2 linked regions of the Caenorhabditis elegans genome follow. The protein of the gene in region 1 purifies or fractionates together with the protein of each later gene. This does not show direct contact. Each region holds a gene or a part of one and is shown in the gene's direction. Other genes may lie near its edges.

Evidence for each region.
Region 2: the proteins of mlc-2 (region 1) and unc-54 purify together in Caenorhabditis elegans (affinity purification with mass spectrometry; 2 studies listed by BioGRID, with this or other methods). This does not show direct contact.

What each region holds. Positions count from the first base shown.
Region 1 is NC_003284.9:17,455,199-17,458,532, reverse strand, and holds mlc-2 (Myosin regulatory light chain 2), read left to right. Parts: upstream 1-1,946; 5' UTR 1,947-1,965; coding exon 1,966-2,103; intron 2,104-2,150; coding exon 2,151-2,283; intron 2,284-2,337; coding exon 2,338-2,486; intron 2,487-2,539; coding exon 2,540-2,632; 3' UTR 2,633-2,741; downstream 2,742-3,334. Other genes in the region: C36E6.2 (Nbr1 FW domain-containing protein), read right to left, coding at 3,098-3,285.
Region 2 is NC_003279.8:14,860,303-14,865,300, reverse strand, and holds the start of unc-54 (Myosin-4), read left to right. Parts: upstream 1-1,818; 5' UTR 1,819-1,850; coding exon 1,851-1,913; intron 1,914-2,475; coding exon 2,476-2,604; intron 2,605-2,652; coding exon 2,653-2,793; intron 2,794-3,274; coding exon 3,275-3,731; intron 3,732-3,811; coding exon 3,812-4,596; intron 4,597-4,648; coding exon 4,649-4,998. UniProt on the Caenorhabditis elegans protein: Required for muscle contraction.

The sequences.
Region 1 (3,334 bases):
CACACAATCTTCAAAGTTTTGACATACGCAGTGATTTTTGATTTTAGGATTTGCAGCTATTTTTGAAATCAATAATTTTGATGTCATTGAATAACAGACAAAAATTGTGTTTCGAACTATACTCTCATTGGAGACAATTCAGAAACGATTCAGAAAAAAAAACCTTCCATCAGAATTAGTGTGACAAGAGGTTCTTACTCATATCCTAAATTAACAAGGATAACTTTTTTGATTCCTCAACTTTCAAACTTTTTCATCTGATTTTCTATTGAGTGTTCTGTCTACCAGTGCTCTTATCTGAAAACAGCTTTTAAGATAATGCGTCAGCTGGCAGAAACGCTTTTAATTTTGCTTCCTGTTTGTTAACTTATTTTTGAAACGTTTTACTTCGAAAAGAGTTAATTTTTTGGTTTGTTTGTAAATTTGAAAAAATCATTTAATGTTTATTATGAGCGTATTACAAATGTTCGTAAAAGTTATTATTATTATCACTCCACAATTTCCGTTTGTAAAATGAATAATTGAATTTTTTTTTCCAATATACATCAAACAAAATTGTGAAAAAATTGCTTTAACGAAATTGAAGCATAAACAATAGTTCTAATTCCAATTACAACAATTTGTGTAAATCAAATGTTTCCTCTGAAAACTTCAAACAGTAAACCATTAATGTTTTGAAAAGTACGATGATGGTCTGGAAAACGCGCTTTGAAAATTTGTTACAACACGTTAGAATCACAAGTTCAGATTAGCTGTCGCCTCTAAAAATCAATTGTTGAACAATGTCTTCTTCAATTTTTTGATAATCAGCAAGCACAACTACTAGAAACAAAATATACAATTTTAAAGTTGGCAAAGAAACATTGGATACAATTTTCCAGTCGCTTGGCATTTTTGTTGAACATAATTTCAATTTTTCGAAAAATTTATGTTTTGTAATGTTTTATTTTGATTTCCATACTTATGAAGTAGTAAAGATTTCTACTGGGCTCATGAGATACAAAACAATCTGAACATTCAATTTTTTATCTTCGGAAAAGTTCTTGCTAGAAAAACAATAAAAACCACTTATAAACATTCCTTTCAATTGTTCTCTTTTTACGAACTTGTTAATTTGTCTTCAGCCATTAGAAACAATATTCGATGTTACATGTTTTCATTCAACATTCAAAGTTATATTCTTTCTAATTCCTATTTTGTGTTAATGGGCCACCCTCAGTGCAACTCTGATCATTCATCTCCCAAAAATCCCTAGATTCCCTGCTCTCCACCCTCGCTTTTCTGCGCGCAGCAAAAAGCCTACCACCTTAACTTTTACCTGCTTTTGAGAGAGATGTACTTGAGAAAATATTCGAAGCCAAACAGTTGGCTTTTCCAAAAATTCTCTCCCCCATGCGTTGCCGCAACTCTGTAGATATTTGCGTTTGTCGTTTCTTCACAAACAGATATTGCGTATATCTTCCCGGCCGTGTGAGGGTGATCAGAAAGTCTGAGATCCCCAAAGAGAGCACAGACACGGCGCACGGATCACGGGCACTGCTCTTTCTAGCGCTCTTTGTGTCGAGCTTCTGCTTGGGACACATTATCTCTGCTGGCAAAACTGATCGCTGCCCGCTGTGTTACACTCTATCTCAAACGGCATCCCGGGAATCTGCCACCCTCCACCAATTGCCTACTAACTTTGCCCGCCGTGGAGAGAGCACCTCCTCTCGGTCTCTTTTCGTATCACATTCCTCCCATCCAGCTACTCCTCCTTCCCATACGCCTACCAACCAACCATTATTATCTCAATGCTCTCGACAAGATCGGGACTTGGAAAAGGCTTCTTCTTCATACTTTTCATGGGTGCATTTTTAATTTTAATTTGTTCGTTTCCCAAGCAATTTACTTCTATCATTGTTTCGACAATTTTGTGTGCTACCTGTAAACAAATAACTGAGTTTCAGGTAGAGAACCTTTTCCAACATGTCCAAGGCCGCCAAGAAGAAGTCCTCAAAGAAGCGCTCGGGATCCGAGGCCGCCCAATTCGACCAGAAGACCATCCAGGAGTTCAAGGAGGCCTTCGGAATCATGGATCAGAACAAGGACGGAATCATCGACAAGGTTAGCTTTTTTTAAGTTTTAAAATGATACTAATGAACAATTTTTAGTCTGACCTCAAGGATCTCTACGCATCCATGGGACAAATCGCCCCAGACAGCCAGATCGACGCCATGATCAAGGAGGCATCCGGACCAATCAACTTCACCGTCTTCCTCACCCTTTTCGGGGAGAGATTGACAGGTAGGCTTTTCAGATTTTCTAATGGAATTCAATTCATTATTGCAATAATTTCAGGAACTGACCCAGAGGCCACCATTGTTGGAGCTTTTGCTATGTTCGATAAGAAGGACTGCGGAAAGATCAAGGAGGACGACCTTATCAAGATCCTTCAAAACAAGAGAGGAGAGCCATTAGACGAGGATGAGGTCAAGGCTATGTACAAGGTAAATTCATTCTTTCTGAAATCATTGAAACTTACCAATTCCTCTTCTTTCAGGGAAAGCCACCAATCGAGGGAGGAGAGGTTGACTACAAGGCATTCGCTCACCTCATCACCACCGGAGCCCAAGACGAGCTCGCCAGCGCCTAAACATCCGGCAATTGCACACAAATCTTACATTCTTTCAAATAATACTTTCTCATTTATTTCTCCAATTATAATCTTTCAATGGATTAGTGCAATAAATGGTGGTGATAAAATTAGTTGATACCAATGACTTCTAATGTTATTTTATAAAAAGGCTAATAGGTATTGGGGAAAAAAGTGATGAATAGTTTGAAAAAGAAATGCGAGAGGTGGAAAAGGCAACAAATCTGTACTGGGTGTCTATCACAATTGGAACAAATCTTAATGAGAAAATATGTTTCAATAAGGTTCATTACAGAGTTACCAGATGTCTGATAACCCGAGCTACGTTGAATTTTAAAAGTAAAATAGTTAGAAGATTACTTTTGATTCAATAACTGCATTGAAATTTACATTTGATTAAGATATCCCACGGTAAATAATTGATGATCATCACAATAATAACAATAGAATTTACAAGGTCTCGAATCATTCCATCATGTCCTCTTGAGGTGGATCAGGCACTGGAGATGGATGTGTCCCACTGCTACTTGGTCCTTCCACAAATGACATCACAGCGAGTTGCCGATGGAATGGATCCATTGGTTGCGCGGAGACTTCCATCGCGGCTTCTGCTTCAGTAAGTGGCCGCACTCGAATGATAACCCAGATTGATTCTGAAAATGTGGAAACATTAAAATTATGAGGTTTCTGAAGTAGCTGAAT
Region 2 (4,998 bases), on another chromosome or scaffold:
CAAAGAACGTGTAATTTATCTTATCATCCCGGAAATTTCTTCCAACTGACCCTTGGCTTTTGTGTATCTCTTATTACAATCAAAAAACCTCGTCTCCTCCCGGTGGAACCCAGAAAATGCTGCTGGATGCTCCAAGCGCTCCCACATGCCTTCAAACTCCTAGGCGCCTGGAGATAGTGTTGCAATCAAGGAGAGCGCGAGACGAAGAATCAGTTGTTACTTTTGTCTGGGTCTCTAGGGGTTTCGTGATATTCCCGTGTTGTCTTACAGCATCCGCGAATTGTTTTCGTCAGGATGAAGTATGAGATTGTGGGATTTGGAGAGAAGCTGATTTGCTGGAGAAGCACAAAAATCTGAAGAAAATGTTTGAAGAAGATAAAGCAAACGGAAAGACTATCCAGTTACATACATACTATCATGAGAATGATTTATGAGCCTTTTCGTAAATTTTTAGACAGATACTATTATCAGGAGACCTTTTAAAGCAAACGCGACAACTTCATAGTAGTTACCAAGGCTCGAAAAATTGATTGGTGCAACTTGAAGTTCGAATGAGTAGAATTGATAAGTATTACAGGTGCCTCCAAATCGATTGTCCGCCACAATGATATACCTCGAATCCATCTGATCAAAATTATTACTGTAGCATTGAATCGCAGTACCGTAATCAAATATTAAATATTTTTGCCCCCCTCTCCTCTACGTATCAATAAAAATAGTCTTAAAACTTACTTCGACTCCAAAGTAGGTTAGTATCAATTTTGCAGACTTTATTTGTAATGCATTTCTAACAAGGAAATTTTTACATTTTACCCTCAAACTTCAAAATGAGACATGTTTCATCTGAAGTGTTTTAGATTATGTCACGAAAGGTATGTCACTGCAAAATTTTAAGCAGCAATACTTTTCTCTCAACCCCTAAAATATCGATCTGAAATTGTCTCATTTAACCACTACTTTAGAGACCTGCATAATTGCTCTAAATGCTTTTTTGCAAACTTTGAAAGTTTTTCAGGAAGTGTAGGTAAACACTCCGGGAGGTTTTTAAAGAATTGTGATTTTTTTGGAGAATTGGTCTAAAAATTTTTTTGATTTTTTTTTTGAAAGAATTGTTATAACAATTTTCTTGATTTTTTTGCAAAAAAAATTAAAGGAAAACTGCACTGAAACAATTTCAGATCAACAATTTTAGGGTTGATATTAGAGCTTTGCCGCTTAGAATACTGCAGTGAGTATTTTCGGTTTTCACTGGTCTCTGTAAAAAGAGTAATGCAAAGGCAAGTTAACTAGGTCGTAAATGTATTGATTTGCTTAAAATCTGAAGATCTAGTGGTGAACCGTGGAAGATTATCAAGAGGAGGCTGAAGATCTGTTTAAGAACCATTAATCAAACTGGTATTCTATTTTCACTGGTTGTATGTAAACATTCTATCTTATTCCTTTTATCACTGTTCTGCACTTTCCTATAAAAAAAGTTGACCGACCGTACTCTCTGAATTCATTTTTCCCGATCTTACCAACTCCCGATCTATCTCTATCCCTGGTTTTTTCTTCGTGCTCCAATGGAATTCTTGAGACTTCCACTATCTTCTCTGGCACCCTCCACTACGCGTAGGCGTCTCTCGCTTCGTGTATTCCCGGGAAGCCGGGTTCCCGTCTCTCCCGCCGCTGCCGCTGCCGCACACAGCTTTACACCTCGTAGAATCCCCAAAGAGGGGCGTGGCTTGCGGGTGCCAACATCCTCCTGCCGAGGAAGAAGCAGGCACTCATCACTCGCATCATCAACCTCGACTAAGGGAGCACCACATTAGTTTTGAGGTAGAGAAACCATTTGAAAGAAGCGAGAAATCATGGAGCACGAGAAGGACCCAGGATGGCAATATCTCCGCCGTACCAGAGAGCAGGTTTTGGAGGTGAGTATTTATTTTTTATTTATTTATTTTTCTTTCATTTGTCTTTATTGTTATGCTCATTTCTATAGAGTAAATCGTATAGTACTCCATAAGTATCTAATTTTAACAAAACTGAGCATTTATTTTTGAAATTCTAGATTTTTAACATACAACTGAGTTAAAGTCTGCCATTTTACACTTATAGATTTTTTAAATTCAGGTAGAAGATTTGAGCTTGCCTTGTAATCCTTGTAATCAATGTTTATTTCTGTTTTCTAATTTTTCATAGATTTAGCTTCAAGATCATCTTTCCCTTGAAATCATTGAAATCTTCCTTTCTTAAATTTTTGCATTGCACTTGGAATTTTGTGACACATTGTGCTGCAGTAGTACTGTATTTTGAGACGGCACATTTATTTTGACTACACCACAAGCTTAACCTTGATTTTACTTTTTGATTCCATTCCATTCATGGGTCTAAAGTGTGAAGCGGTTTAGACCATTTTTCAACACAAGTTGGTATTCTTTAGAAGTGATATATTTCTGAATTCTGATCTCTTTTGTACCATTATTGTAATTTCAGGATCAATCTAAGCCTTATGACTCCAAGAAGAACGTCTGGATCCCAGATCCAGAAGAGGGATACCTTGCCGGAGAAATCACCGCCACCAAGGGAGACCAGGTCACCATCGTCACCGCTCGCGGAAATGAGGTTCGTTTTTAAGCTAATGATTACGGTTTTCAATGTAGTGTGATTCAGGTCACCCTCAAGAAGGAGTTGGTTCAAGAAATGAATCCACCAAAGTTCGAGAAGACCGAAGACATGTCCAACTTGTCTTTCCTCAACGACGCCTCTGTCCTCCATAACTTGCGTTCCCGTTACGCTGCTATGCTCATCTACGTAAGTTTCATTGAAACTTAAAGTTAAGCATTGAGAATCATTCATATTCTTCTTCTAAATTCCCATAAAATCCCGAAACTCCTTCCCTCTATCTTCTTTTCTTCTCGTTTTCAAATGTTTCTCTCTATCCCATTCTCTCATCAATTGAGTGGGATGAGGCTATCTCTGCCTCTCTTCTGAATCTCTGAACCATCTTACATTACACTGTGGATGACGGGAGCCCCACAGGCTCCCTTGCATCAGATACTGCCATTGGGGATGGCAAAGAAGAGAGAAGGTATTGTGAGGATATATTTTTCTAAGAAAAAACGTTTGAAGAAAAGAAGATGAAGAAGATCTGCTTGATTCATTGCACAAGTTAGAAGTAACAGGGGTCTATATTTCGAAGAACTTAAAGGGAATGCAACTGAACATAAAATTAAACAAAGGGATTGAATCCTGCAGTATTTAAAAATCGAAACTAGAATGTTTCCTATTTCAGACCTACTCCGGACTTTTCTGCGTTGTCATCAACCCATACAAGCGTCTCCCAATCTACACCGACTCTTGCGCCCGTATGTTCATGGGAAAGAGAAAGACAGAAATGCCACCACATTTGTTCGCTGTCTCTGACGAAGCCTACCGTAACATGCTCCAAGACCACGAGAACCAGTCTATGCTCATTACCGGAGAATCTGGAGCCGGAAAGACTGAGAACACCAAGAAGGTTATTTGCTACTTCGCCGCTGTCGGTGCCTCCCAACAGGAAGGTGGAGCTGAAGTTGATCCAAATAAGAAGAAGGTCACCCTTGAGGACCAAATCGTCCAGACCAATCCAGTACTTGAAGCCTTCGGTAACGCCAAGACTGTCCGTAACAACAACTCATCCCGTTTCGGAAAGTTCATCCGTATCCACTTCAACAAGCACGGACGCCTCGCATCTTGCGATATCGAGCATTGTGAGTTACTTTTTGATTTATATTCTAGCATAGCTCAATAAAAATTATGCAACTATTGTTTTAAACTATAAATTTTGCAGACTTGCTCGAGAAATCTCGTGTCATCCGTCAAGCTCCAGGAGAGCGTTGCTACCACATCTTCTACCAAATCTACTCTGACTTCCGTCCAGAGCTCAAGAAGGAACTTCTTCTTGACTTGCCAATCAAGGATTACTGGTTCGTCGCCCAGGCCGAGTTGATCATTGACGGAATCGATGACGTCGAAGAGTTCCAACTTACTGATGAAGCTTTCGACATCCTCAACTTCTCTGCCGTCGAGAAGCAGGATTGCTACCGCCTCATGTCCGCTCACATGCACATGGGTAACATGAAGTTCAAGCAACGCCCACGTGAAGAGCAAGCTGAGCCAGATGGTACCGATGAGGCCGAGAAGGCATCCAACATGTACGGAATCGGATGCGAGGAGTTCCTCAAGGCTTTGACCAAGCCACGTGTCAAGGTCGGAACCGAATGGGTATCCAAGGGACAGAACTGCGAACAAGTCAATTGGGCTGTCGGAGCCATGGCCAAGGGTCTCTACTCCCGTGTGTTCAACTGGCTTGTCAAGAAGTGTAACCTCACTCTGGATCAAAAGGGTATTGATCGTGATTATTTCATCGGTGTGCTCGATATCGCCGGTTTCGAAATCTTCGACTTCAACTCCTTCGAGCAGTTGTGGATTAACTTCGTAAACGAGAAGCTCCAACAATTCTTCAACCATCACATGTTCGTCCTTGAACAGGAAGAATACGCCCGTGAGGGTATTCAATGGGTCTTCATCGATTTCGGACTTGATTTGCAAGCGTGTATCGAACTTATTGAGAAGGTAAGATTGAATTGAAATTTTAAATGTATTTTGATCAATTCTTATTTTTCAGCCACTCGGTATTATCTCCATGCTTGATGAAGAGTGTATCGTACCAAAGGCTACTGATTTGACCCTCGCTTCCAAGCTTGTCGATCAACATCTTGGCAAGCATCCAAACTTCGAGAAGCCAAAGCCACCAAAGGGAAAGCAAGGAGAAGCTCACTTCGCCATGCGGCACTACGCCGGAACTGTGCGTTACAACTGCTTGAACTGGCTCGAGAAGAACAAGGACCCCCTCAACGACACCGTTGTCTCGGCAATGAAACAATCCAAGGGAAACGATCTTCTCGTCGAGATCTGGCAAGACTACACCACCCAGGAAGAGGCCGCCGCTAAGGCCAAGGAGGGAGGTGGCGGTGG